Lonchura striata: one gene and its partners. The protein of the gene in region 1 binds, or shares a complex with, the protein of each later gene. Links are inferred from orthologs where the notes say so. Each region holds a gene or a part of one and is shown in the gene's direction. Other genes may lie near its edges.

What was found.
Region 2: uncharacterized protein LOC110483994 (region 1) and SNRPE share a complex: the UniProt entries of both Homo sapiens proteins name them as parts of the minor spliceosome. The link is inferred for Lonchura striata from reciprocal best matches to the Homo sapiens genes SRRM2 and SNRPE.
Region 3: uncharacterized protein LOC110483994 (region 1) and SNRPG share a complex: the UniProt entries of both Homo sapiens proteins name them as parts of the minor spliceosome. The link is inferred for Lonchura striata from reciprocal best matches to the Homo sapiens genes SRRM2 and SNRPG.
Region 4: uncharacterized protein LOC110483994 (region 1) and SF3B5 share a complex: the UniProt entries of both Homo sapiens proteins name them as parts of the minor spliceosome. The link is inferred for Lonchura striata from reciprocal best matches to the Homo sapiens genes SRRM2 and SF3B5.

Annotation. Positions count from the first base shown.
Region 1 is NC_134637.1:300,126-307,827, forward strand, and holds the start of uncharacterized protein LOC110483994, read left to right. Parts: upstream 1-4,702; 5' UTR 4,703-4,706; coding exon 4,707-4,954; intron 4,955-7,392; coding exon 7,393-7,488; intron 7,489-7,702. UniProt on the Homo sapiens protein: Required for pre-mRNA splicing as component of the spliceosome. As a component of the minor spliceosome, involved in the splicing of U12-type introns in pre-mRNAs.
Region 2 is NC_134632.1:2,737,535-2,744,988, reverse strand, and holds SNRPE (small nuclear ribonucleoprotein E), read left to right. Parts: upstream 1-4,921; 5' UTR 4,922-4,992; coding exon 4,993-5,046; intron 5,047-5,355; coding exon 5,356-5,382; intron 5,383-5,774; coding exon 5,775-5,837; intron 5,838-6,069; coding exon 6,070-6,148; intron 6,149-6,774; coding exon 6,775-6,830; 3' UTR 6,831-6,945; downstream 6,946-7,454. Other genes in the region: ZC3H11A (zinc finger CCCH domain-containing protein 11A), read left to right, coding at 1-19, 1,302-1,566. UniProt on the Homo sapiens protein: Plays a role in pre-mRNA splicing as a core component of the spliceosomal U1, U2, U4 and U5 small nuclear ribonucleoproteins (snRNPs), the building blocks of the spliceosome.
Region 3 is NC_134634.1:399,410-406,617, reverse strand, and holds SNRPG (small nuclear ribonucleoprotein G), read left to right. Parts: upstream 1-4,571; 5' UTR 4,572-4,609; coding exon 4,610-4,641; intron 4,642-4,825; coding exon 4,826-4,848; intron 4,849-5,572; coding exon 5,573-5,697; intron 5,698-6,524; coding exon 6,525-6,575; 3' UTR 6,576-6,695; downstream 6,696-7,208. Other genes in the region: protein FAM136A, read left to right, coding at 1,205-1,291, 2,944-3,084, 3,561-3,749. UniProt on the Homo sapiens protein: Plays a role in pre-mRNA splicing as a core component of the spliceosomal U1, U2, U4 and U5 small nuclear ribonucleoproteins (snRNPs), the building blocks of the spliceosome.
Region 4 is NC_134605.1:50,067,390-50,073,297, forward strand, and holds SF3B5 (splicing factor 3B subunit 5), read left to right. Parts: upstream 1-4,911; 5' UTR 4,912-4,989; coding exon 4,990-5,250; 3' UTR 5,251-5,397; downstream 5,398-5,908. UniProt on the Homo sapiens protein: Component of the 17S U2 SnRNP complex of the spliceosome, a large ribonucleoprotein complex that removes introns from transcribed pre-mRNAs.

The DNA of each region.
Region 1 (7,702 bases):
GGTGAGTGACTAAAACTGGGATTTTGGGTAAAAAATGAGGAAGTTTTGGGTGAAAAATTGGGAAATTCTGGGTGAGGGAGGAAAAAATGGGAATTTGGGGTGAAAAAGGGGGAAATTTGAGGTAAAAAATGGGGAAATTTGAGGTAAAAATGGGGAAATTTAGGGGGAAAATGGGGAAATTTGAGGTAAAAATGGGGAAATTTAGGGGGAAAATGGGGAAATTCTGAGGTGGGGGAGGGAAAAAATGGGAATTTGGGTAAAAAGTGGGAAATTTGAGGCAGGGGAGGTAAAAATGGGATTTTGGGTAGAAAATAGGGAAATTTTGAGGTGAGTGACTTAAACTGGGGATTTTGGGTAAAAAATGAGGAAGTTTTGGGTGAAAAATTGGGAAATTTTGGGTGAGGGAGGAAAAAATGGGAATTTGGGGTGAAAAATGGGGAATTTAAGGGGAAAATGGGGAAATCTAGGGGAGAAATGGAAATGGAATTTGGGGTGAAAAAGGGGGAAAATTTGGGGTGAAAATGGGGAAATTTTGAGGCAAGGGAGGAAAAATGGGAATTTGGGTAAAAAGTGGGAAATTTTGAGGCAAGGGAGGTAAAAATGGGATTTTGGGTAAAAAATATGAAATTTTGAGGCAAGGGAGGTAAAAATGGGAATTTGGGTAAAAAATGAGGAAGTTTTGGGTGAAAAATTGGGAAGTTTTGGGGTGAGGGAGGAAAAAATGGGAATTTGGGGAAAATAAAACAAATTTTGGGCAAAGGGGGAGCTCGGGATGGGGAAATGGGGTTTGGGGGAAAAGTGGAGATTTGGGAGAAAAAAGGGATTAAAAACAATTAAAAATGAGTCGTGAGGGGAAAGCGAAAGTTTAAAAAGGGAAGTGTGAGGGGAAAAAGAAAAGTTTTGGTGAAAAAGGTTTGGGTGAAAAAGGGGAGGTTTTGGTTAAAAAGAAAGTCTTGGGGGAAATTGGGATTTTTTGAGGGGGAAAAAGGCGGAAAATGGGATTTTAGAGGGGGAAAAAATGGGATTTTGGGTGAAAAAAGGGGAAATTTGGGGTGAGGGAAGGAAAATGGGATATTGGATAAAAAAGGGGAAAAATTTGGGGTGAAGGAGGAAAAAATGGGATTTTGGGTGAAAAATGGGGAAAATTTGAGGTGAGGGAGGAAAAATTGGGATTTTTTAGGTAAAAATGGGGAAATTCAGGGTGAAAAATAGGGGAAATTTTGGGTTTGGGGTATAAAAAATGGGATTTTGGGCAAAAAGGGAAAAAAATTGAGGTGAGGGAAGAAAAAATGGAATTTTGGGGGTGAAAAGAGATTTTTTAAGGTCATGAGGGGAAAAAACGGGATTTGGGGTTAAAAATAAGATTTTAGGGGTTCGTGAGGGGAAGGTTGGATTTCGGGGAGTTTTGAGGGGGAAAAGGGAATTTTTGAGGGGAAAATGTTGATTTTTGGGGGATTTTTGAAGGGAAAATGGTGGTTTTTGGGAGGTTTGTGAGGGGAAAAGCGGAATTTGGGGGAAAAAAATGGGATTTTGAGGGGAAAATTGGGATTTTGGGGTAAAAAATGAGGGTTTGAGGAGGGAAAAGCGGATTCGAGCGGAAAGAAGGCGATTTTGGATGAAAAAAAGGATTTTTTGGTAAGTGTGGGGAAATTTGGGGTAAAATAGAGGGGAAAATGGGAATTTTGGGGTATTTCTGCAGGAAAATGGGAATATGAGAAAAAAATGAATTTTTGGTGGAAAATGGATTTTTTTTTTTTGAGGTGTGGGGTTTTGGGGAGTTTTTGAGGATAAAACTGATTTTTTTAGGAGTTTCAGGGTTTGTGAGGGGAAAAATTGGAGTTTTTTGGGGGAAAGTGTTTTTAGTGGGAAAAAACCGATTTTTAAAAAGTTTTTGAGGGGAAAAATGAAGTTTGAGGGAGTTTAGGGTTTTTAGGAGAGCTGAGGAGTAAAAGTTGAAATTTTTTGGGGTTTTAAAGTAAAAATTGGAGTTTGGAGGATTCTGAGGGGACAAATTGTCGTTTTGGGGGAAAAACAGAATTTTGGGGTGTTGGGAGGGGAAAAATGGAGATTTTTAAAGTTTGTGAAGTAAAATTTAATCAGAATTCATTTTATGAGGTGAAACTTTAAAATTTAATTTAAATTTATGAGGTAAAAAAGCGATTTTGAGGAAGAAAAGTGAGATTTCGGGGGAAATTGGGGAATTTTGAGGAGAAGAATGAAGATTTTGGAGTTGTGAGGGAGGAAAAGGATTTGGGGGAAAGACAAAGGTAAAAAAGTGGATTTTTGTGGAGATTTGAGGGGAAAAAAGTAATGTTTAGGGGAATTGTGAGGGAAAAAGTGAATTTTGAGAAAATTCTGAGGCGAAAATTAAGTTTTTTCGGGGTGTTTTGTAAAAAAGTAATTTTATTGGAATTTTGAGGGGAAAAGTGAATTTTGGCGGAGAGTTGTGAGGAGAAAATGGATTTTTTTTGGTGTTTTGTTAAAAAAAAGAGGAATTTTAGGGGAATTCTGAGGAGTTTGGGGAGTGGAAGTGGTCGTAAGTAGGAAAAATTTAATTTTTGTGGGGGGAAAAAACGTTTTTGTGGAAATTGTGAGGGGAAATTTGGGGTTTGGGGCAGTTCTGAGGGGATTTTGGGGAGAAAAAACCATTTTTTAGGGAAGTTGTGAGGGAGAAAAGTGGGATTTTGAGAGAAAAATGGAGTTTTTTTAAAAGTGTGAGGGGGGGAAAAATGAAATTTGAAGGAGCCTTGAGAGGAAAGGGTCAAAAATTCTCATTTTAGGGAAAAAGTTATTTATTTTAGGGCGCTGTGAGGAGAAAAAAGGATTTTGAGTGAAAAAAAAGTTGTTTTGGGAAGGAAAAGTGGATTTTGAGCGGAAAAAAAAAGTGATTTTGGGGGGAAATGGATTATTGGAGTTGGAAAAAAAGTGATTTTGGGAAGGAAAATGAGATTTTAGGGAATTTCCAGAGAAGTTTAGGGAGTTTGTGAAGGAAAATGGGGATTTTGGGTTTAAAATGGGAATTCATGTAGGAAAACAGAATTTTGGGGAGAAAAATAGGATTTTGGGTTTAAAAGTGAGAATTCATGCGGGAAAATGGCAATTTCGGGGAGAAAAGTGGGGATATTGGGTTAAAAATGGGAATTCATGTAGGGAAATGGGAATTTTGGGAGAAAAATTGGATTTTGGATTAAAAGTGGGAATCTTGTAGGAAAATGGGGATTTTGGGAAGAAAAATGGGAATTTTGGGTTAAAAAGTGAGAATTCCTGTAGGAAAATGGGAATTTTGAGGAGAAGATGGGGACTTTTGGGTTAAAAAGTGGGAATTCCTGTAGTAAAATGGGGATTTTGGGGAGAAAAGTGGGGATTTTGGGTTATAAAAGGGTTTTTTTAGGGTGGGAGGGAAGTTTTGGGGTCAGTGAGGGGGGATTTGGGGCAGGGGGAATTTGGGGAATTTGGGGGATTTGGGACTGTAGGAATGGGGGATTTGGGGAATTTGGGGATGCAGGAATGGGGGATTTGGGGCTGTAGGATTTGGGGATTTTGGGGATGTAGGATTTGGGGGATTCAGGGGATTTTGGGGATGTAGGATTTGGGGGATTTTGGAGATTTGGGGTTTTAGGAACTTGGGGATTTTGGGGGTTTGGGACAAAGGGATTTTGGGAATTTGGGTCTATAGGAACGGGGATTTTGGGGATTTGGGTCTATAGGAACGGGGGGATTTTGGGGGTTTGGGGCACAGGGATTTTGGGGATTTGGGGCACAGGGATTTTTGGGATTTGGGTCTATAGGAACTTGGGGATTTTGGGGGTTTGGGACACAGGGATTTTTGGGATTTGGGTCTATAGGAACTTGGGGATTTTGGGATTTGGGACACAGGGATTTTGGGGATTTGGGTCTATAGGAACTGGGGGATTTTGGGGATTTGAGGCACAGGGATTTGGGGGATTTGGGGCACAGGGATTTTGGGGATTTGGGGCACAGGGATTTTTGGGATTTGGGTCTATAGGAACGGGGGGATTTGGGGCACAGGGATTTTGGGGATTTGGGGCACAGGGATTTTTGGGATTTGGGTCTATAGGAACGGGGGGATTTGGGGCACAGGGATTTTGGGGATTTGAGGCACAGGGATTTTGGGGATTTGGGTCTATAGGAACTTGGGGATTTTGGGCACAGGGATTTTGGGGATTTTGGACACAGGGATTTTGGGGATTTGGGTCTATAGGAACTGGGGGATTTTGGGGATTTGAGGCACAGGGATTTGGGGATTTGGGGCACAGGGATTTTGGGGATTTGGGGCACAGGGATTTGGGGGATTTGGGTCTGTAGGAACTTGGGGATTTGGGGGATTTGGGTCTATAAGAACGGGGGGATTTTGGGGATTTTGGACACAGGGATTTTGGGGATTTGGGGCACAGGGATTTTGGGGATTTTGAACACAGGGATTTTGGGGATTTTGAACACAGGAATTTTGGGGATTTTGAACACAGGGTTTGGGGGATCTGGGGGATGTGGGGGGCCCTGACTCCCGCGTTCCCAGCGCTGGGATGTACAATGGGATCGGGCTGTAGGAACGGGGGGATTTTGGGGATTTGGGGCACAGGGATTTTGGGGATTTTGGACACAGGGATTTTGGGGATTTTGGACACAGGGATTTGGGGGATCTGGGGGATGTGGGGGGCCCTGACTCCCGCGTTCCCAGCGCTGGGATGTACAATGGGATCGGGCTGCCGACGCCGCGGGGCAGCGGCACCAACGGCTACGTCCAGCGCAACCTCTCGGCCCTGCGGCCCAAGAAAGGGGGGGCGGGCGGGGACCCCCCCCCCGGCGAGGAGGAGCTGAGGCGCCTGGAGGCCGCCCTGGCCAAGAAACCCAACGCCGACATCCTCGACCACCAGCGCAAGCGGAGGGTGGAGCTGAAATGCCTGGAGCTGGCCGAGCTGATGGAGGAGCAGGGGTGAGCGCCGCGCGCCCCAAAAACACGCCCTGAAATTTCCCAAAATCCCCCGAAATTTCCCCAAAATCCCCCCAGACCCCCTCGGGACCCCTCCCCAAATTCGGGGGTCCCCCCTGGCACCCCAAAATCCCTTTTAATACCCCCAAACCCCCCCAAAATCCCCCTAAAATCTCCTTTAAACCCCCCAAATTCCCCCCGAAATTTCCCAAAATTTCCCGAAATTTCCCCAAAATCCCCCCAGACCCCCTCGGGACCCCTCCCCAAATTTGGGTCCCCCCCTGACACCCCAAATCCCCCCTAAATTCCCCCAAAATCCCTTTTAATCCCCCAAACCCCCCAAAATCCCCCTAAAATCTCCTTTAAACCCCCCAAAATCCCCCGAAAATTTCCCAAAATCCTCCAAAATTTCCCCAAAATCCCCCCAGACCCCCTCGGGACCCCTCCCCAAATTCGGGGGTCCCCCCTGGCACCCCAAAATCCCTTTTAATACCCCCAAACACCCCAAAATCCCCTAAAATCTCCTTTAAACCCCCCAAAATCCCCCTGAAATTTCCCAAAATCCCCCGAAATTTCCCCAAATCCCCCGAAATTTCCCCAAATCCCCCCAGACCCCCTCGGGACCCCTCCCCAAATTCGGGGTCCCCCCCTGACACCCCAAATCCCCCTTTAAACCCCTCAAAATCCCTTTTAATACCCCCAAACCCCCCCAAAATCTCCTTTAAATGCCCCAAAATCCCCCCAAAATTTCCCAAAATCCCCCAAAATTTCCCCAGACCCCCTCGGGACCCCTCCCCAAATTCGGGGGTCCCCCCTGGCACCCCAAAATCCCTTTTAATACCCCCAAACCCCCCCAAAATCCCCTAAAATCTCCTTTAAACCCCCCAAAATCCCCCCAAAATTTCCCGAAATCCCCCAAAATTTCCCTAAACCCCCCAAAATTTCCCCAAATCCCCCCAGACCCCCTCGGGACCCCTCCCCAAATTCGGGGTCCCCCCCGGACACCCCAAATCCCCCTTTAAACCCCTCAAAATCCCTTTTAATGCCCCCAAACCCCCCTAAAATCTCCTTTAAACCCCCCAAAATTTCCCGAAATCCCCCAAAATTTCCCAAAATCCTCCAAAATTTCCCCAAATCCCCCCAGACCCCCTCGGGACCCCTCCCCAAATTTGGGTCCCCCCCTGACACCCCAAATCCCCCCTAAATTCCCCCAAAATCCCTTTTAATCCCCCAAACCCCCCAAAATCCCCCTAAAATCTCCTTTAAACCCCCAAAATCCCCCAAAAATTTCCCAAAATCCTCCAAAATTTCCCCAAAATCCCCCCAGACCCCCTCGGGACCCCTCCCCAAATTCGGGGTCCCCCCTGGCACCCCAAATCCTCCTTTAAACCCCAAAATCCCTTTTAATACCCCAAAATCCCCCTAAAATCTCCTTTAAACCCCCCAAAATCCCCCCAAAATTTCCCGAAATCCCCCAAAATTTCCCAAAATCCTCCAAAATTTCCCCAAATCCCCCCAGACCCTCTCAGGACCCCTCCCCAAATTCGGGGTCCCCCCTGACACCCCAAATCCCCCCTAAATTCCCCCAAAATCCCTTTTAATACCCCAGAATCCCCCTAGAATCTCCTTTAACCCCCGAAATTTCCCAAAATCCCCCGAAATTTCCCCAAAATCCCCCCAGACCCCCTCAGGACCCCTCCCCAAATTCGGGGGTCCCCCTGGCACCCCAAAATCCCTTTTAATACCCCCAAACCCCCCCAAAATCCCCCTAAAATCTCCTTTAAACCCCCAAAATTTCCCAAAATCCCCCCAAAATTTCCCAAAATCCTCCGAAATTTCCCCAAATCCCCCCAGACCCCCTCAGGACCCCTCCCCAAATTCGGGGGTCCCCCCTGACACCCCAAAATCCCTTTTAATACCCCCAAACCCCCCCAAAATCCCCCTAAAATCTCCTTTAAACCCCCCAAAATCCCCCCAAAATTTCCCAAAATCCTCTAAAATTTCCCCAAAATCCCCCCAGACCCCCTCGGGACCCCTCCCCAAATTCGGGGGTCCCCCCTGGCACCCCAAATCCCCCCTAAATTCCCCCAAAATCCCTTTTAATCCCCCAAACCCCCCAAAATCCCCCTAAAATCTCCTTTAAACCCCCCAAAATCCCCCCAAAATTTCCCGAAATCCCCCGAAATTTCCCCAGACCCCCTCGGGACCCCTCCCCAAATTCGGGGGTCCCCCCTGGCACCCCAAATCTCCCTTTAAACCCCCCAAAATCCCTTTCAATACCCCCAACCCCCCCTAAAATCTCCTTTAAACCCCCCAAAATCCCCCTGAAATTTCCCGAAATCCCCCCAAAATTTCCCGAAATCCCCCGAAATTTCCCCAAATCCCCCCAGACCCCCTCGGGACCCCTCCCCAAATTCGGGTCCCCCTTTTCCCCGTTGCAGCTACTCGGCCGAGGAGATCGAGGCCAAGGTGGCCACGTTCCGCACGATGCTGCTGGAGAAGGACGAGGGGCCCGGCGACCCCGAGCAGAAACCCACGTGAGCCCCCTCATTTGCATAATTAGCATAATTAGCTGCATGGCGCCTCGTTAACCGCCGTCCCCGAGGGGGTTTTGGGGGAAAAAAATGGAATTTTGGGGGGAAAAAAGGAGTTTTTTGGGGTGGTTTGAGTGGGAATTGGGGATTTTGGGGTCGTTAGTGGCAAGATAAGTTTGTTAATTAGGTTCATTAGCATAATTAGCGTAATTATATC
Region 2 (7,454 bases), on another chromosome or scaffold:
GGGAGAATTCCCAGATCAGGTAACCCCGACCCCAAATTCCTTCTGGGGTGGGCAGGGTGGGAATGATCCCAAAATCCTGCAGAGGAGCTGTTAATTGCAATTAAAGCTGCAGCTCTGGGTTCCTGCAGGTGCTGCACTGGGGCACTCCCCAAAATCGATCCAAAAATCCCCAAAATTGATCCAGAATCCTCAAAACTGAGCTAGGAATGCCCAGAATTGATCAGGAATCCCCAAAATTGATCCAGGAATGCCCAGAATTGATCCAGGAATGTCCAAAACCAATCCTGGACTGCCAAAATTAATCCCATCCCCCAAAACCAATCCTGGACTCCCCAGAATTGATCCTGGATTTACAAAATTGATCCTGAACTCACCAAATCTGATCTAGACCCCCCCAGACCCAATCAGGACTCCCCAAACCTGATCCAGGACTCCCCAAACCTGATCCAGGACTCCCCAAACCTGATCCTGGACTCCCCAAATCTGATCTAGCTCCCGCAAACCCAGTCCCAGTCCCCCCAAACTCAATCCCAGCTGCCCCAAACCCAATCCCAGCCCCTGCCACCCTCCCCTAACCCCCCATGTAGAACCCCAAACTTCACCTCGGGTCCCTCCTGCACTTACTTCCTTTTCCCTGCTCTGCTAGCCCCCCAAACCCAATCCCATCCCCCAAACCCAATCCAGGACTCCCCAATCTGATCCTGAACTCTCCAAATCTGATCTAGCCCCCCCAAACCCAATCCCAGCTCCCCCAAACCCAATCCCAGCTCCCCCAAACCCAATCCCAGCTCCCCCAAACCCAATCCCAGCCCCCCCAAACCCATTCCCAGTTCCCAAAAACCCAATCCCAGTTCCCCCAAACCCAATCCCAGCTCCCCCAAACCCAATCCCAGCTGCCCCAAACCCAATCCCAGCTGCCCCAAACCCAATCCCAGTTCCCCCAAACCCAATCCCAGCTCCCCCAAACCCAATCCCAGCTGCCCCAAACCCAATCCCAGCTGCCCCAAACCCAATCCCAGCTCCCCCAAACCCAATCCCAGCTCCCCCAAACCCAATCCCAGCTCCCCCAAACCCAATCCCAGCTGCCCCAAACCCAATCCCAGCCCCCCCAAACCCATTCCCAGTTCCCAAAAACCCAATCCCAGCTCCCCCAAACCCAATCCCAGCTCCCCCAAACCCAATCCCAGCTCCCCCAAACCCAATCCCAGCCCCTCCCACCCTCCCTAACCCCCTTTGTAAAACCCCAAACTCCACCTCGGGTCCCTCCTGCGCTGACTTCTCCCTTCTCCCTGCTCTGCCAGCCCCCAGCCTGGCAGCCAGGGGCATTCCCTGGCCCAGGCAGAGGTGTCGGGATCCTCCTCCTGCTCCTCATCCCTGGAGGCGCCGCTGAAGCTGCGGCGCCTGAGCTCAGCCGGCGGCGCCAAAGCCGCGCTCTCGGTGGAGGACGACTTCGAGAAACTCATCTGGGAAATCTCCGGGGGAAAACTGGAGGCAGAAATCGACCTGGATCCAGGCAAGGATGAGGATGATCTCCTGCTGGAACTCTCCGAGATGATCGACAGCTGAAAGTGAAGGATTTTTATTGGAAAAAAAAAAAAAGGGGGGGGGGGAAAAAGATGCGACGCCAAAAAAAAAAAAATCCCCTAAAAAAGCAAAATTTCCTCCTGGCACCCCGAAGAAATGCTGGAAATGCTGTTGGATCCGTGCAGGAGATGCTTTCCCAGCTGGATTGGTGGGAATAGGCAGAGTCTGCTCTCAGTTATCCCAAAATTCCTGGTTGGGTTTGTCCCACGTGGGACGGAGCACTTGGAATTCCCTGGAGGGACAACACAGATCCCATGGCAGAGCTCCCTCCTGGACAGAAAAACCCCAAAAAAATCCCTGGAGTTACTGTGTCAACTCTGGAATCCACGGTGGACTCGGAATTGGGGGGAATTCGGGGGTGGAAAAACACCGGGAGGAATTTTGGACCAAACCCTGCCAGGGTGAGCCTGGCTCCGAACGATCCAAGGGGGATTTTTCTTGGAATTTTGGGATGGTGGAAAAATCAAAATTCCTCCTGGAATTTGGGAAAAGGAGCATTGCTTCAAGTGCCTCTGGATTTTGAGGATTTTTCCCTGTAATGAACCTCCCACATCCAGCTGGGATCGTTGTGGGAGGGGAAAAAAAACAAAAAAAAACCCAAAAAAACCACCTGGAATATTCCCCCCTTGGCTGCTTCCCTCTTTTCCAACCTATTTTGGAGATGGGATTGAGAGGAATCCCCGTGGATTTATTTTTATTTTTCATTTTTGTTTATTTTGATTTTAGTTGGTTTTTTTTTTTTTTGGTCCTGTAAATATTTTATTCTTCCATTTTATATTTGTATGATTCTATTTAAGGGATTAAAGGTAGGCTGCTCAACTGTGGTGTCCTTGCAGAGTTTTGTGCTTTGATTTAAGGAATGGTATCCAACAAGTTTGGTGGGAATGCTGGAATTAATTAGAAATTAATTAGAAATTAATGAAAAAATAATGAAATTAATGAAGAATAATGAAATTAATTAAAAAATAATGTAATTTATTGGAAATTTAATGAAATTTATTGGAAAATAAATGGAATTTATTGGAAAATTAATGAAATATATTGGAAATTAATGAAATTAATGAAAAATGAAATTAAAGAAAAATTAATGAAAAAAAAGAAATTTATTGGTAAATTAATGGAATTTATTGGGAAATTAATGAAATGTATTGGAAAATTAATGGAATTTATTAGGAAATTAATGGAATGTATTGGGAAATTAATGAAATTTATTTGAAATTAATGAAATTTATTGGGAAATTAATGAAATTAATTGAAAATTAATGAAATTAATGGAAAATTAATGACATTAATTGGAAAACAATGACATTAATTGGAAATTAATGAAAATAATGAAATTTATTGGAAAATAATGAAATTGATGTAAAATTGATTAAATTGATGGAAAACTGATGAAATTTATTGGAAATTAATGAAATTAATGGAAAAATTAATGGAATTTATTGGAAAAATAATGAAATTTATTGGAAATTAATGGAAAAATTAATGAAAAATTAATGAAATTTATTGGAAAATTAATGAAAGGGGCTCAGCCTGGAGAAAAGGAGGCTCAAGGGGAATTTGGGATCTTCCACAGGAACATGGGAGAGATTTCAGGGAATTTTTTTTGCTTTTTTTTTGTGACTTTGTGGGATAAATGAACAGGAAAACTCGAGCACTGTAAGAGCACAAAAATTACTTTATTTTAAAATTTTGTGTATTTAAGGGCGCAGCTCTGCTGTAGCTCTAAGCCAGGGGAACATTGCTAACAAATGTTTTATTTATAGATGAATTGTGGTTATTCAAACCAAATTAAATAATAGTGTGAAAAATGCCCAACACTTAGTTTTTAAATTTTTAAATTTTAATAATAAATCGGTTATAAAACTAATAACACAATTAGAGTAATAAAGTGTAGAGTTAGGACAATTAGAAGACAATAAAAAGCAGATTTTTTTGATTAATTTTTTGATTAATTAAACAAGAAATTCGCTTTTTCTGATAAGAAACCCATAAATTCCTTTTTTTTGGAAGATTTTGGTGTTCCTCGAAGCGAGTATCTCATTCCTTAAAAAAAAACCCAAAAAACTCCCCCCACATACTAAGAGAAAAAAACCTACTAAGAGGAAAAAAAAACTAAGAGCAAAAATAACCAAAAAAAGAATAAAAAAAAATCCTACAAAGAGCAAAAAAACCCACAAAAAAAACCCGAAAAAAACCTAGTAAGAGCAAAAAAAATAAACAAAAAAACCCCATCTTACTAAGAGAAAAATAAAAGACCCTACTAAGAGCAAAAAATAAAAAAGAAACCCCAAAAAACCTACTAAGAGGAAAAAAAAACAAACAAAAAAAAAACAAAAAAAAAACTTTACTAAAAGAAACCAAAAATCTACAAAGAGAAAGAAAAACTACTAAGAGCAAAAATTACTAAAAAAAGAACAAAAAAATCGTACTAAGAGCAAAAAAACCCACAAAAACAACCTACTAAGAGAAAAAAAACGTAAAAAAAATTAAAAAAACCTGCTAAGAGAAAAAAAAAAGGACCCTACTAAGAGCAAAAAATAAACAAAAAGAAACCCCAAAAAACCTAAGAGGAAAAAACCCAGAAAAACTCTACTACGAGAAAAAAAGCAAAAACCTATTAAGAGAAAAAAATCCTACTAAGAGCAAAAAAACCCCGAAAAAAAACTACTAAGAGAAAAAAAAATTTAAAAAAACACACTCAAAAAAAAAAATATACCCTACTGAGAGAAAAAAAAAGAACCCACAAAAAAATCCTACAAAGAGAGAAAAAATCCTAAAAATAATGATAGGGAAAAAAAACAAATAAAGTAAAAATCTCCTGAGGGCCTCACGCCGCCAGTATCCCACAATGCCCTGCGCGCTCCGCCCCTCACGGCGCCGCTTCCGGCCGCCATTACCGCCGTGCCCGCCTTGCCCGCCCCTCACGGCGCCAGTGTCCCACAGTGCCCCGCTCGGGCCGCCATTACCGCCCGTGCCCGCCTTCCCCGCCCCTCACGGCGCCAGTGTCCCACAGTGCCCCCTTCCCGGCCGCCATTACCGCCCGTGCCCGCCTTGCCCGCCCCTCACGGCGCCAGTGTCCCACAGTGCCCCCTTCCCGGCCGCCATTACCGCCCGTGCCCGCCTTCCCCGCCCCTCACGGCGCCAGTGTCCCACAGTGCCCCCTTCCCGGCCGCCATTACCGCCGTGCCCGCCTTGCCCGCCCCTCACGGCGCCAGTGTCCCACAGTGCCCCGCTCGGGCCGCCATTACCGCCCGTGCCCGCCTTCCCCGCCCCTCACGGCGCCGCTTCCGGCCGCCATTACCGCCCGTGCCCGCTTTCCCCGCCCCTCACGGCCCCGCTTCCGGCCGCCATTACCGCCCGTGCCCGCCTCCCCTGGCCCTCACAGCGCCGCGGCCCCGCGCAGCCATGGCGTACCGCGGGCAGGGCCAGAAGGTGCAGAAGGTGATGGTGCAGCCCATCGTATCCTGCCCGCAGCGCTCGGGGAGGGAGGGAAGGGAAGGGAAGGGAAGGGAAGGGAAGGGAAGGGAAGGGAAGGGAAGGGAAGGGAAGGGAAGGGAAGGGAAGGGAAGGGAAGGGAAGGGAAGGGAAGGGATGGATGGGGACGGGTGGGAAGTAGGGAAGGGAATGGAGGGAAGGAAGGAAGGGAAGGGAAGAAGGGAAGGGAATGGCGGGTTCCACTATGGGTTCCACCGCGGGTTCCCTTCAGGGGTTCCCCTCAGCGTTTCCCCCGTGCCCCCGGCTCTGCTGTGCCCTTAACCCCGGCCCCAGAACCTGATCTTCCGCTACCTGCAGAACGTGAGTGCCGGCAGCGGGCTGGGGGGGAGGGACCTCAAATCTCCCCATTTTAACCCCATAAAACCCATTTAACCCCAAAAATCCCCATCTTATACCCCAGAACCCCCATTTTATAATGCCAAAAAAACCTGTTTTATACCCCAAAACCCCCATTTTATAACCCCAAACCCCACCCAAAAATCCCATTTTATTACCCCAAAATCCCATTTCATACCCCCAAACCCCGTTTAACCCCATTCCCCCAAACCCCTCACACGCCAGACAGTCCCACCCCACACAGGGGTGACCGCAGACAGATTTGGGGTGGGGACAAACCCTGGACCCCAAACCCCTTTGGGGCCCTGCTGACCCCAAATCCCATTTGGACCCCAAATCCTGTTCCCGTTCTGCAGCGGTCCCGGATCCAGGTGTGGCTCTATGAGCAGGTGAACATGAGGATTGAGGGCTGCATCATCGTGAGTGCCCCATTCTGCTTTGGGGTTTTTTGGGGGGGTTTGGGGGTTTTTTGGGGTTTTGAGAGTTTGTTATTAGTTTTATGAGGAGGTTGGGTTTTTTTTGGGTGTTTTTTGAGGGGATTTGAGGGCTTTTTGGGGGGGTGGTTTTGTGTGGGTTTTTGGGTTTTTTTGGGGGGTTTTGTATGGGTTTTTGGGGTCTTTTGGGGTTTCTGAGGCCGGTGCTGCTCAGCAGGGCTTTGACGAGTACATGAACCTGGTGCTGGACGATGCTGAGGAGATTCACTCCAAAACCAAGGCCAGGAAGCAGCTGGGTAGGGCAGGGGGAGAGAACCCCAAATCAGGGTCTGGGACCCCAAATCGGGACTGGGACCCAAAACTCCGGGGGTGGGTCCTGGAACCTGGATGTGTGACCTTAAATCCTGGTTTTGGGACAGGGATCCAGGTTTTGGGATTGGGATCCAGCTGTGGGATTGGGATGGGATCCAGCTGTGGGATTGGGCTCCAGCTGTGGGATTGGGCTCCAGCTGTGGGATTGGGATGGGCTCCAGCTGTGGGGCCGGGCTCCAGCTGTGGGATTGGGATGGGATCCAGCTGTGGGATTGGGATCCAGCTGTGGGATTGGGATCCAGCTGTGGGATTGGGATCCAACTGTGGGATTGGGATGGGATCCAGCTGTGGGGATGGGCTCCAGCTGTGGGATTGGGATCCAGCTGTGGGATTGGGATCCAACTGTGGGATTGGGATCCAGCTGTGGGATTGGGATGGGCTCCAGCTGTGGGATTGGGATCCAGCTGTGGGATTGGGATCCAGCTGTGGGATTGGGATCCAACTGTGGGATTGGGATGGGATCCAGCTGTGGGATTGGGCTCCAGCTGCGGGGCCGGGCGGGATCGGGGCGCTCCCACCCCACAGGCCCATCCCGAGCCGTTGGTTGCAGGTCGGATCATGCTGAAGGGGGACAACATCACCCTCCTGCAGAGCGTCTCCAGTTAGGATCGGGCTGCTCCCGGCCCCCCAGCGGGATTGGGATCGCTGGGAACCCCCCGAGCTCCCGGGGGAATCGGATTTTGTACTTTGGGCAATAAAACGGGGTTGTTTTTTCACAAAATCTGGGATCGGGGTTTCAGGGAGAAATGTTTTCCAAGGGTTTTCCCCCTGTGGGATTGGATCTGGGGGGTTCAGGATAATGGGGGTTCGAGTTTTCCCAAACCAAACCCTTTATCCCAAAACCAATCCCATCTTCCCCAAACCAATCCCTTCTTCCCAAAAATAATCCTTCATTTCCCAAAACAAATCCCTTTTAAAAAAAAATCCCGTTATCCCATAACCAATCCCATATCCAATTGGATATGGATTGGATATCCCATATCCAATTCCTTCTTCCCAAACCAAATCCCTTTTTCCTTAAACCAGGCCTTTCTTCCCCACAAAAAGTCCCTTATTCACAAAAAATCCTTTTTTTATTCCCAAAACCAATTTCTTAATCCCAAAAAAATCCTTTTCCCAAACAATTCCTTTTCTCCAAAAATGAACCCCTTTATCCCAATAAGAATCTTTTTTTTTTCCCCAAACCAATCTTTCTACCCCTAAACAAATCCCTTTTTCCCAAAAAATCCT
Region 3 (7,208 bases), on another chromosome or scaffold:
AATTTCTGGCAATTTTGGTGCGATTCTCAGCAGTTTTGGGACAATTTCTGGCAGTTTTGGGGCAGGTTTGGGACAATTTCAGTTTTGGGGCAGTTCCCCTCAGGTTTGGGGTGGGTTTTTGAACGATTCTCTTCAGTTTTGGGGTGGGTTTTGGGACGGGTTTTGGGGTGGGTTTTGGGGCTGTTCCCCTCAGGTTTTGGGGCGGATCCCCTCAGATTTGGGGCGGATTTTGGGGCGGTTTTCCTCAGGTTTTGGGGCGGTTTTTGAACTATTCTCCTCAGTTTTGGGGCGGGTTTTTGGGGCGGTTCCCCTCAGGTTTGGGGCGGATTTGGGGGCGAGTTTTGGGGCAGATTTTGGGGCGGTTTTCCTCAGGTTTTGGGGCGGTTCCCCTCCTGTTTGGGGCGGGTTTTTGAACGATTCTCCTCAGGTTTGGGGCCGGTTTTGGGGCGGGTTTTTGGGGCTGTTCCCCCCAGATTTGGGGTGGATTTTGGGGCGGTTCCCCTCAGGTTTGGGGCGGGTTTTGGGGCGGTTCCCCTCAGGTTTTGGGGCGGTTTTCCTCAGTTTTGGGGCGGGTTTTTGAACGATTCTCCTCAGGTTTGGGGTGGGTTTTGGGGTGGGTTTTGGGGTGGTTCCTCTTAGGTTTTGGGGCGGATTTTGGGACGATTCTCCTCAGGTTTGGGGCGGATTTTGGGGCAGTTTTCCTCAGGTTTGGGGTGGGTTTTTGGGACGGTTTCCCTCACGTTTGGGGCGGGTTTTTGGGACGATTCTCGTCAGTTTTGGGGCGGGTTTAGGGCGGTTCGGGGCGAGGTTTAGGGCGGGATTAGGGTGGGATTAGGGCGGGTTTAAGGCGGGTTTAGGACGGGTTTAGGGCGGGTTCAGGGCGGGTTTAAGGCGGGTTCAGGGCGGGTTTAAGGCGGGTTCAGGGCGGGTTTAAGGCGGATTTAGGGCGGGTTTAAGGCGGATTTAGGGCGGGTTCAGGGCGGGTTTAGGGCGGGTTTAAGGCGGATTTAGGGCGGGTTCAGGGCGGGTTTAAGGCGGGTTTAAGGCGGATTTAGGGCGGGTTCAGGGCGGGTTTAAGGCGGATTTAAGGCGGGTTCAGGGCGGGTTCAGGGCGGGTTTAAGGTGGGTTTAAGGCGGGTTCAGGGCGGGTTTAAGGTGGGTTTAAGGCGGGTCCAGGGCGGGTTTAAGGCGGGTTCAGGGGGCCATGGCGGAGGCGGCGCAGGGCCGGGTGCAGGCCGCGGTGGAGAGCGCGGTGCAGGGGCTGGAGCGGGAGCAGATCCGCGCCATGCAGGTACCGGGACACCGGGGGACACCGGGGGACACCGGGGGACACCGGGGGACACCGGGGGACACGCCGGGAGGGGTCCGCGCCCGCCCGGGGCTGCGGCGGTACCCCCGACCCCAACACACGTGGGTGCCCCGGGCAGCGCCGGGAGCGGCCCCGAGACCCCCCCCAAACCACTGAGATCCCCCCAAATTCAATACACAGGCTGAGACCCCCCCCCAAATCACTGAGATCCCCCCAAATTCAATACACAGGCTGAGACCCCCCCCAAATCACCGAGATCCCCCCAAATTCAATACACAGGCTGAGACCCCCCCAAATCACTGAGATCCCCCCAAATTCATTACACACCCTGAGACCCCCCCAAACCACTGAGATCCCCCCAAATTCAATACACAGGCTGAGACCCCCCCCCAAATTCAATACACACCCTGAGACCCCCCCCAAATCACTGAGATCCCCCCAAATTCAATACACACCCTGAGATCCCCCCCAAATCACTGAGATCCCCCCAAATTCATTACACACCCTGAGACCCCCCCCCCAAATCACTGAGATCCCCCCAAATTCATTACACACCCTGAGACCCCCCCCAAATCACTGAGATCCCCCCAAATTCAATACACAGGCTGAGACTCCCCCCCAAATCACTGAAATCCCCCCAAATTCAATACATACCCTGAGACCCCCCTCCCAAATCACTGAAATCCCCCCAAATTCATTGTGACCTCCTCCCATACACACCCTGAGACCTCCCCAAATCACTGAGACCCCCCCAAATCACTGAAATCCCCCCAAATTCAATACACAGGCTGAGACCCCCCCCAAATCACTGAGATCCCCCCAAATTCATTGTGACCTCCTCCCATACACACCCTGAGACCCCCCATACACACCCTGAGACCTCCCCCAAATCACTGAAATCCCCCCAAATTAATTGTGACCCCCTCCCATACACACCCTGACACCCCTCAAATCACTGAGACCTCCCCCTCAAATTCCCTGACACCCCCGCAATTCACTGAAACCCCCCCAAATTCATTGTGACCTCCCTATACACCTCCTGAGATCCCCCAAATCACTGTGACCCCCCCAAATTCATTGCGACCCCCTCCCATACACACCCTGACACCCCCTAAACCACTGAGACCCCCCCCCAAATTCCATTCTCTGTGCCCCCCAGTTCATTCCCTGTGCCCCCCCCTGCTCAGGGCACACCCGGCTGGTCCCCCCAAGGGGGCTGGGACCCCCAGACTGACCCCACTGACCCCTTGTGACCCCCCCTTCCCTCCATGGCCCTGGGGGTCACCCTTCTCCACCGTGTCCCCAGTGTCCCCCTCACCTGGGAGTGTCCCCGGAGTGTCCCCAGGGTGCCCCCCATTAACCCCCTGACCCTTGGTGCCCCTGGGGTGTACCCCCTTGTCCCGTGTTTCCCCATTAACCCCTCATGCCCCATGTCCCCAGAGTGTCCTCTGTTTTCCCTGTGTCCCCTGTTTCCCCGTTAACCCCTCATGCCCCGTGTCCCCAGGGTGTCCCCTATTAACTCCTCGTGCCCTGTGTCCCCCGTTAACCCCTCATGCCCCGTGTCCCCAGGGTGTCCCCTATTAATTCCTCGTGCCCTGTGTCCCCCGTTAACCCCTCGTGCCCCGTGTCCCCAGGGCGCCATGTTCCGCTGCAGCGCGCGCTGCTGCGAGGACGCAGCGGCCTCCATGCAGGAGGTGCAGCGCTGCATCGAGCGCTGCCACGCGCCCCTGGCCCGCGCCCAGGCCATCGTCACCGCCGAGCTGGAGCAGTTCCAGGTGAGCGCAGGCACCAGGACCCCTGGGACAGCACCGGGACCCCGCCTGGGACCCCTGGGACAGCACTGGGACCCCGCCTGGGACCCCTGGGACAGCACCGGGACCCACCCTGGGACCCCTGGGACAGCACCGGGACCCTCTGGGACAGCACCGGGACCCCTGGGACCTCTGGGACAGCACCAGGACCCTCTGGGACAGCACCGGGACCCCTGGGACCCCTGAGACAGCGCCAGGACCCACCCTGGAACCCCTGGGGACAGCACCAGGACCCCTGGGACAGCATCAGGATCCTGCCTGGGACCCCTGGGACAGCACTGGGACCCCTGGGGACAGCACTGGAACCCCCTGAGACCCCTGGGGACAGCACTGGGACCCTAGGCAGGACATGAACCCCACCCCAGTCCCTCCCCTGATCCCCCCAATGTGCTCCCAGTCCCCCCATTCTCCCCCAGCCCCGCTGACCCTGCTGCCCCCAGGACCGGCTGAGCCGCTGCTCGCTGCAGTGCTCGGACCAGGCCAAGGACGCGCTGGACGCGGGGGGCTCGGAGCCGCGTGTGCGGGGCCAGCTGGATGCCTGCCTGGCCACCTGCGGGGAGCAGCACCTGCGCCTCGTGCCCGCCATGGCCAGGAAGATGCGGGACGGGCTGGCCAGCATCCAGCAGTGACCGCGGGGGCACCCCGGGGACACCCCGGGGACACCCCGGGACACCCCGCGCTCATTAAAGGCCAGGTGGCAGCTCCACCGACCGCGGGCGTGCTGGGGGACTGGGGGTGATGGGGGAACTGGGGGTGATTGGGTGGCATTGGCAGTGATTGAGGCACAGGGTGATGGGGGGAACTGGGGGTGATTGGGGGACTGGGGGGCACTGCGGGTTATGGGGGGACAGGGGGAACTGGGGGTTATGGGGGAAACTGAGGGTAATGGGGGCATGGGAGGTATGGGGGCACTGGGGGAACAGGGTGATGTGGGGGACTGGGGGTGATTTGGGCAGTGGGGAACGGGGGCACTGAGGAACTGGGGGTGAGGGGGTGGATGTTGAGGAGACACTGCAGGAGATGGGGGCACTGGGGGTGATGGGGGAACTGGGGGGCACTGGGAGCAATGGGGGCTGTGAGGGGGTGACGGGCTGGGTGCTGAGGGAACTCTGCAGATAAGGGGGGGCATTGGGGGGTGATGCTCACACACGGGCACACACACACACGTGTGCACATGTGGACACACACACACGACACACGTGTGCGCTCACACACGTGTGCACACACACACACACTCACACACATGCGCACTCACGCCCCCAGCACGCGCCCCGCCGCGCCGCCCGCATGGCGGCCATGCCGCCGTACCTCCCCGTGTAGCCGCGCACTCCCCTCACCGACCCCTGCATCCCCCCGCTGCCTCGCCCCTGCCGCGCCGCTACTCGGGTGAGTGCGGGAGCGCGCCGCGGGCCGCCATTGGCCGGCGCGGGGAGACGCACGGCGCGCTGACGTCAGAGCGCGGCAGGGACGGCCGGGGGCTGCGGGCGCCATGAGCAAAGCGCACCCGCCCGAGCTGAAAAAGTGCGGCCGGGGACGAGCGGGGCGAGGGCAGCCGGGGCCCGGGCGGGGGGAAGTGGGGGCCGCTGCTGCCCGGTACTCCGGTGCAACGGCGGCGGGGGACGCGCGGTCGCTGTGGGGATAATGGCGGGGGGGCTCCTGCCCCGTCGCCACCCGCCGGCGCTCACCCGCTGCCGTCTCCTTGCAGGTTCATGGACAAGAAGCTGTCGTGTGAGTTCTGGAGCGGATCTCGTCCTGGTCCCCCTCACGGTGCCCGGGGGCCCCATCCCGCCCCGATCCCTCTCACGGTTCCTGGGACCCCCGCCCCAGTCCCGCTCAGGGTGTCCCGGGACTCTCCCCCACCCCGATCCCCTCACGGTGCTCAGGCAGGGACCCCAATGCCGATCCCGTCACGGTGCCCGGAGACCCCCGCCCCGATCCCCATCACGGTGCTTAGGGACCCCCGCCCCCATTCCCATCAGGGTGTCCCAGGACCCCCGCCCCAATCCCCTCACGGTGCCCAGGTAGGGACCCCCATCCCAATCCCTCTCACGGTGCCCTGGGACCCCCGATCCCCTTCACGCCCACCGCTGTTGGGGACCCACCCCCCAACAATGCCCCGTTTTGGGGACCCTCCACAGCCCCGTTTCCCTCTCGTGGCCCCGCTGTGGGAGTCTCCTGAGCCCCCCACCCGGTTTTTGGGGACCCCGCCCACCCCTCACAGAGCCCAGATAAGAGGTCCCGGCTGCTGATTTCCGACCTTAGAGCGCATGAATTAAAATTCTAATTCATTCATTAATAATTCATTAATTAACTAGAACACGGGTTGAAAATTCGCTCTGTTCCCCCTGTCCCATTAACGGGTTGTGCTCAGTCGTTCCCATTCCCCCCGCTGGTTTTGGGGGGTGCACGGCCCCGTTGTGGGGTGCCCGCGCTCAGGCCCCGCTCCCCGCAGTGAAGCTGAACGGCGGGCGGCACGTGCAGGGCATCCTGCGCGGCTTCGACCCCTTCATGAACCTCGTCATCGACGAGTGCGTGGAGATGGCGGCGGGCGGGCAGCAGAACAACATCGGCATGGTGGTGAGGCACTGGGAGCACTGGGAGTGAGAGCACTGGGAGCGGGGTGGTGAGAGCACTGGGAGTGGGGTGGTGAGGGTACTGGTAGTACTGGGAGCAGGGCAGTGAGGGCACTGGGAGCATTGGGAGTCAGGTGGTGAGGGTACTGGGAATACTGGAAGCAGGGTGGTGAGGCACTGGGAGTACTGGGACAGGGTGGTGAGGGCACTGAGAGCACTGGGAGCACTGGGAGCAGGGCAGTGAGGGCACTGGGAGCACTGGGAGTCGGGTGGTGAGGGTACTGGGAATACTGGAAGCAGGGTGGTGAGGCACTGGGAGTACTGGGAGTGGGGTGGTGAGGGCACTGGTAGTACTGGGAGCAGGGCAGTGAGGGCACTGGGAGCACTGGGAGTCGGGTGGTGAGGGTACTGGGAATACTGGAAGCAGGGTGGTGAGGCACTGGGAGTACTGGGACAGGGTGGTGAGGTCACTGGGAGTACTGGGAGTGGGGTGGTGAGGGCACTGGGAGTACTGGGAGGAGGGTGGTGTGTGCGACTGGGCGTACTGGGCATAGGGTGGTGAGGGCACAGGGAACACTGGGGGCACTGGGACAGGGTGGTGAGAGCACTGGGAGTACTGGGAGCAGGGTGGTGAGTGCACCTGGAGCACTGGGAGGTCTTTTCCACTCTCAAGGATTCTGGTATCCTGTGATCCTTGAGGATTTCGGGTTAAAATCAGTCTATTTTGGCTTTTGTGAGGAGGAAATTCCAGCCAAATTTTCTGGGATTTTTGGGAAAACAAACTGGAAGGAAGGAACCCTTAGGTAACAGCTCTCACCTTGCCCCTTCCAGGTGATCCGAGGGAACAGCATCATCATGCTGGAAGCTTTGGAACGAGTATAAACCCCTGGAAAACCCCAAGTCCTCACCCACTGCTTCCGTTCCCTCGTCCAAAATGCCGCCCACGAGTGTACAATTATTTTGATTGTGTTATTAAATCAATTTTGTAATGGTTGACCCAAATCAAGCCTTTGTCGCACCAGTTTTTGGCAGCTCAGCGGTAATTCTGTTCCCGATCCTGGTACAACTTTTATTTATGGAAGTGGGTGTTCAATTTATACTATTTCTGGTGGTTTTTTTACTTAAAACACACTTGGGTTATTAAATTCTTTATTAACTTCGTACCTGAACACGGCCGTGGATGTTGGTGGTTCTCCCTCTTTCCCACTTATTTTCCCCCAGTTCCCACCCTGAGGAATAATTCCTTGGCAGAGCCTTGGGAAAAGTTGGGGCAGAGGGATGGACAGCCAGGGAGTCAATATTCCCAGCTGGAGGGCACTTTGGGGGTCAATATGGCACTTTTAATGAATTCCCTACCTCAGACAGGGCTAAATCAAGGAAAACTGAGGAAAACTCATGGATTTGTGTGAGGAAAACGTCCCAGCTTACTTGGGAACTCTTCACTGCTCCTGCTCCCTCTAGAGCTGGCCAAACAGCTTCCAGGTGGCACCAGGGGACATCAGGATGAGATATTGG
Region 4 (5,908 bases), on another chromosome or scaffold:
CAAATTAATTTCTTTTAATTTAAATTTGTGTACATTTCTAATATTCAAAACATTGGCCTACTTAAAGATGTACCTTTCATCACTGCTACTTTTCTATACCTTATTGAACACAATTAAGAACTGTATTAGCTGTAGCACTTTATCTGGAGTGAATGAAGAAAAGAAATGCAAAGAAAATGGGCAGAATACAATTGCTTCTTGGAGAGTTCTGTAGTATTTCTTCCCCAGTTTTGTTGTGTTTATTCTTATTACTTCGATTTCCAAATGCATGACAAACCTTTCGCATTACAAAAACATATATGGACAGAATTTAAATTCACCTGGCAGACTATTACTGGCGCTGTTTTTAGCCTGAATAGGTAACTAATCACATCACTGGACAGGCTTTTATTTTCTATGTTATAGCTTTGGAATAAAGAACTTCCCCTAAGCAGAAAGTGAGAGCTGCCTCTACCAGGCCTCTGCTGTGCTCCATCTCCCTCCACACCACATTCATCAGATCACCACATTATTTCAGTGTCTCATCTGTAAGCACTGTGCTAGTGATCCCTACTGCCTTTCTGCTTTTAGGGTGCTCCTGTGCCTGGCTAGGAAGTTCTCAGTGGCACCTAAATTAAGCTAATTCAATTGTCCTGTGCACCTAAGGCACACAGCTGTTATTCAGCCCCATACAGGAGGTGTAGAGCATCACAGTGGTACTCAGAAGGAACTGATGGAGTGTGAAGCTCCAAGGCCCAGTCTCTGTGATCCTTAAGCTGCTCCTAGGTAAGACACTGTTAGTGCAGGTCATAGATCTCCTCAGTATGACAATTCTTCAGGAGTGAATTTCTCCAGATTCAGTCTGATTCAAGATAATGTGATTATCTTTACATTAATACAGAGCAGCATAAAGTGTATCCCTTAGTGGTAGGACACACAGTATTTCTTCTTTCCTGATTTTTTTTACTCCACATTCTTCCAATCTATAGCTTTGGCAGAGAATCAGCCATACAACCCTAAAACAGCTTTGAGATTTTGGAATATTTATACTCTATAAATGAAAGCAAGAACAAAGCAAAACATAGTTTTAAAGTGAAAGAAAGTTTGAAACTTAACCATGCTTGCAAGGACTGTGTTTCCTCTGTCCCAGAAGCAGCCCAAAGGCTGCTATGAGATGGCAGCAAAATCATGATTCTGACTACAAGGAAAAGAAAGAAATCAGGGGAGTTTACATCAAACAAGGTGGAAGAAGAGGCTTGATTGTGAAAAATGTTTTTCACAGGATCTTTGAGAAAAGCAGCAAAATTGTCTTCCACCTCTTAAAGGGCCAAAATAAGGGCTTTCTGAGGCTGATAATGTTCATAGGCTATAATAACATTTGAGAAACTATATCACAGTTCATGTGATAGAATCAGAAATCTGAAAAAAAAACCCCAAATATGCAATTAGAAAAACATAGCTTTTCCAGCCTAAAACTGCTAAGTGGCCTCTGCAAATAATGATCTAAGAACCCTGTTTTAGCAGAAGCAAATATTTTTAATGAAATATATACTTTTAAAAAATCACATGCCACATACACAATGGGTTCTTATCATTATTGAAATTCCAGCACCATTCTTTCTAGGCTAATGCAATCTCAATTTTTTTTTCATCACTGTATTTGTAGGATAAATCAATATAGTGAAGAATAGAGGAATTTCTGGGAGAAAAAAAAAGGCATACCTCCCCATTTTATCATCTTTCTGGATGTGTATTGGTTTTATCTATTAGGATCGTCACATCCCCTTGTTTGCAGGGTATTTATGTCTCCACACTTCCACCCAAAGAGTCCGTAGGGAATTCAAAAATTTGGTTGTATCTTGTACTGGGCAGCCACTGACAATGTCTTTCTTGGTCCAGCAGCCCCCTCTACCCTTTTTACTCTACATTTCGGAGGTGCAACCAATCACTCCGTTTTATGGAAGAAGAATTTTGACAAGTCCAACTCTGACACCCAGTGGCCTCTACTGTTCCAGCTCTTACAGCCTCCCAGGGTCTCAATCTATTGAAACCTGGCTTGAAGGGATACGGTGTTACTCTCCAAACAGATAATTTCAGCACTAAAATCAGCACATTTATGTGATTTCCATAAGTAAGCATCCATTATTGTATATTCTGATAATGATATTTAATGGTATTCAGTACAAAACCCTCAACATATCTGAAAATGCTGCTTTTTCAGGAATCCTAGTCATACAAGCGTATTACCACTGAGGAATAATCCTCTCCCTATATATATGCATCTCCTTTCCCCCACTCATTTATATTCCTAAACTTGAAATGAAAGTGCCCTAGCATAGGCATTCATTTTGTACAAAATGGACCAAACAAGAAAAAGAAGGCCCTACAATAGATTTTATTTTTATAAAGAATAAGAAATGAAGAGAAAGAGAATATAATTGAATATAATTCTTGAAAGATAGCAGATGGAACTTTTTCTTTTTAGATTAAAATTGAAGTTAAGTAGTTACTTGTAGATAATTGTGGTTTGCCTGTCAGCTGGAAATTTTACTACCTGTTTTTTCTTCCTTAAATTGGTAAGCTCGTCTGGCAGTCTCAGAAGTTCTTGACCAAAGCCAATATAGAGTGAAGTTTTGGTGTGCTTTCCCAGAGTTCTGGATGCCTGAATGCAGCATTTTAATCTGGCCCAGTAACAAACTTGCTGAAAATTTCAGATTCACACTTCTCAGTCAAGTTTGGTGGTTTTTTTTGTTTTTTTTTTTTTTTGTGTTTTTTTTTTTTTTTTTTTTTTGTTTTTGGTTGGTTGGGTTTTTATTGTTGTTGTTTCATTGCTTTGGTTGGCTGGGGATTTGTTGTGGTTTATTTTGGTTTTGGTTTTCATTTGTTTTTGTTTTTCTTTCATGAGAACTATTACACCTGTTTAATTTAATGCAGTTATTACTCCTAGAAACTGCAACATCGACAAGAGATAGATAAGCTTCTGGGAATTTTTCTTCTCCAAAGGCTATTTTAATCAATACATCTCCTGGTTTATAGTTTCCAAGAGGATAACTTCCAAACAGCTGTGAGGGCAGCCCCGTGTGTCACTGTGTTGGCATGGAACATCTATTAAAAGCTAGCATTCTTCTTGCTATCCCACTTTTTAAAAAAACATCATTTAAAAAAGAAATGAAAGCTCTTCCTTGTTGAGAATATGTCCTTTTTTGTCTTTCTGCAAGCCAGCATACATAGAAACTCCTAAAGTGTTGTGTTTGTTTCTTTTTCCTCTCCTGGTCTCTCTGAAAGCAACCACAGAATGCAACTGCTATATCCAGCTGTGCAATCTGCTTCCAGCTAAGTAAGCCTTGGTAGCAATGACTCAACAGATCCTCATAAAAATAACAAAAAAAAAAAAATTATAGTCCTCACTTAGCTCTTTGCACAGAATTGTAAGGACACTTCAGAACGTTGTTTTTACATTGCCTTATATGGCCCTGGTTTTATAAGACACTCACTTTTAAACAAGGGGCATAGAATCATCTGTGTTTTCACATAATATTTCTGTGGATTTCTTTTTGACTACAGGGCATTTACAAGAACAGGAAGAAATAGCTCAGTCCTATTGAAAAATTTTTGGCAATGTGTCTTTCCTATTTTAAAACAAATAATTAAAAACATTACTAGCATATGAAAGCATGAATAATTTCACACATTTTAAACTTAACATTATGTAAACTCTCGAACAGAGGTGGAAAAAACTATTTTGATGGATGATAATATTTATTTCAAGCTTGAGTTTGACCAAAAGAAGATAGGCAACACAAGTTATATTTTCTGTGGGTTTTATATCTGCTTGTGAGTTTAACATTCAGATAAAATACTAGCCACACTGTAAAAAATATTTTTCAACATTAGTATTTAATTTTGACTTAAATCACCTGACTCTGCTCAGCCCATCTGGGGAAGATAAACTCAGCTCTTCAACTTACAAAGGAACAGGGATGGGACATACAGAACTTTCCTCAGCTGTATGTAGCAGAAGTAACCTCACCAAACTTCTTATTTTGGGAGGACCTGCAAATACTGTGCCCTCCTCAGCCCTTCTCTATGTGGACTTGGGTGAGAGTGACCATAGCAAGTGGTGCATTGCCCTCTCACCAAGCTAAGGGCTAACGAAAAGGGGTGTTGGGCTGCTCTTGGCACCTCCTGGGTTGTTTGGTGGTAGCTTTTTCTTTCTCCATGTCGCTTCTTTGGGAAGCAGCCCTGAGCCGCGGTTCATACAGAGGCAGCGTCGGGATGGGATGAAGCTGTGCCCCGAAGCGTGAGCCCCGGGCTCTGCTTTCCTGTTTCTGACACCTGCTGCCAGGAGAGACTTTTCGATGCTGTTCCCGTGTTCCACGACGTGGGTATTTCGTAGCCAGATTTGACAGTGCAGGTCCCTTGGATTCCAGGTGAATGGATCACTATCAAAGCCGTATCTTTGCTTTGCAAACTGACGGGAGGCTCCAGGCTTTGCATCGAGGCTCAGCTGAGCATCTGCCTCAGTCTGAGGCGCCTGAACCCTCACGTACGTGCTTTAGAATAACCCTGCGTTACAGATGGCGGCTCAGCCTTCTAACTACATTTGCCTTACTATGGATTAGCCAAGTGGCGCGATCCGACCGACAGTACGCTATTTTCACTACGACATCAATATTAACTTACGCCGAGGCCCGCCCCCCAGGAGACTACAGCTCCCGGCAGGCTCTTCCCGGCGCGCTCCCTTCGGGCACTGCGGCAGGAACCGCGGCGGGAAGCGCTGCCGCGCCCGCCGGAAAGCGTCCCGGCCCCCAGAGCAATCCCGCTGTACAGGCCCGTTCGTGCCGCCCAGACCCGGCCCCGCCGCCCAGGCCGGTCCCCGCCGCCCGCCATCCCGCCGCCCGCCGTCCCGCCGCCCGCCGTCCCGCGCTCCGCCGTCCCGCGCTCCGCCATCCCGCCGCCCGCCGTCCCGCGCTCCGCCGTCCCGCGCTCCGGCCGCCCGCCCGCCGCGCCATGACGGACCGCTACACCATCCACAGCCAGCTGGAGCACCTGCAGTCCAAGTACATCGGCACGGGGCACGCCGACACCACCAAGTGGGAGTGGCTGGTGAACCAGCACCGCGACTCGTACTGCTCCTACATGGGCCACTTCGACCTGCTCAACTACTTCGCCATCGCCGAGAACGAGAGCAAGGCGCGCGTCCGCTTCAACCTGATGGAGAAGATGCTGCAGCCCTGCGGGCCGCCCGCCGACAAGCCCGACGAGTCCTGACCCTCCGTCCTCCTGGTCCCGGCCCTCTCCCGTTGTGGTTCCCGAAGGACTGACCGGGAAGAAGCCTCGCAAAATGCCTGCCTCGGGACTCTTGACTGCTCGCCTTTTTTCAAGTGGAATATAATAAAGCTTCGTGGGCATTCCTAATGTTTGGTTTGGTAGTTTCCTTGTACGAGCTTTTTGTTCCCGCGGGAGCGCTGGTGCTCGGTATTGGGCATTTCAGCGCAACCATCCGAGGTGAAAGCATCGGATACTCCTAGACAGCATTTCTCCCACCGGGCGGATCGATGCTTCCTTACAAAACTCAGTTTTGGGGGGAGAGAGGGGAACTTTGTTGGTACTCAAAGGGTTTGATGTCTTGGTAGCAGTATTATATGGAGTGGTTTTTGGTGTAGCATAAGCCAGTTCCTCTAGTACTTAAAAATTCCAAAATGGCTTTTCTTTAAACAATTTTCTTGCCTCATTTTCCTTTTTCCTGTACCTCTGAATTTTTCAAACCTTGATTCTTTCTGATACACATTAGCTATTTTTTCCCTTTATGCTTTCTAGTAACCTAGCATTCAAGTTTTTCCTACCTTACATCAAATAAAGATACTAGTATTGGGTTGGGCTCTGTTAATATGGAATACGAATATAATGGTTACTCACTACTGCTTCA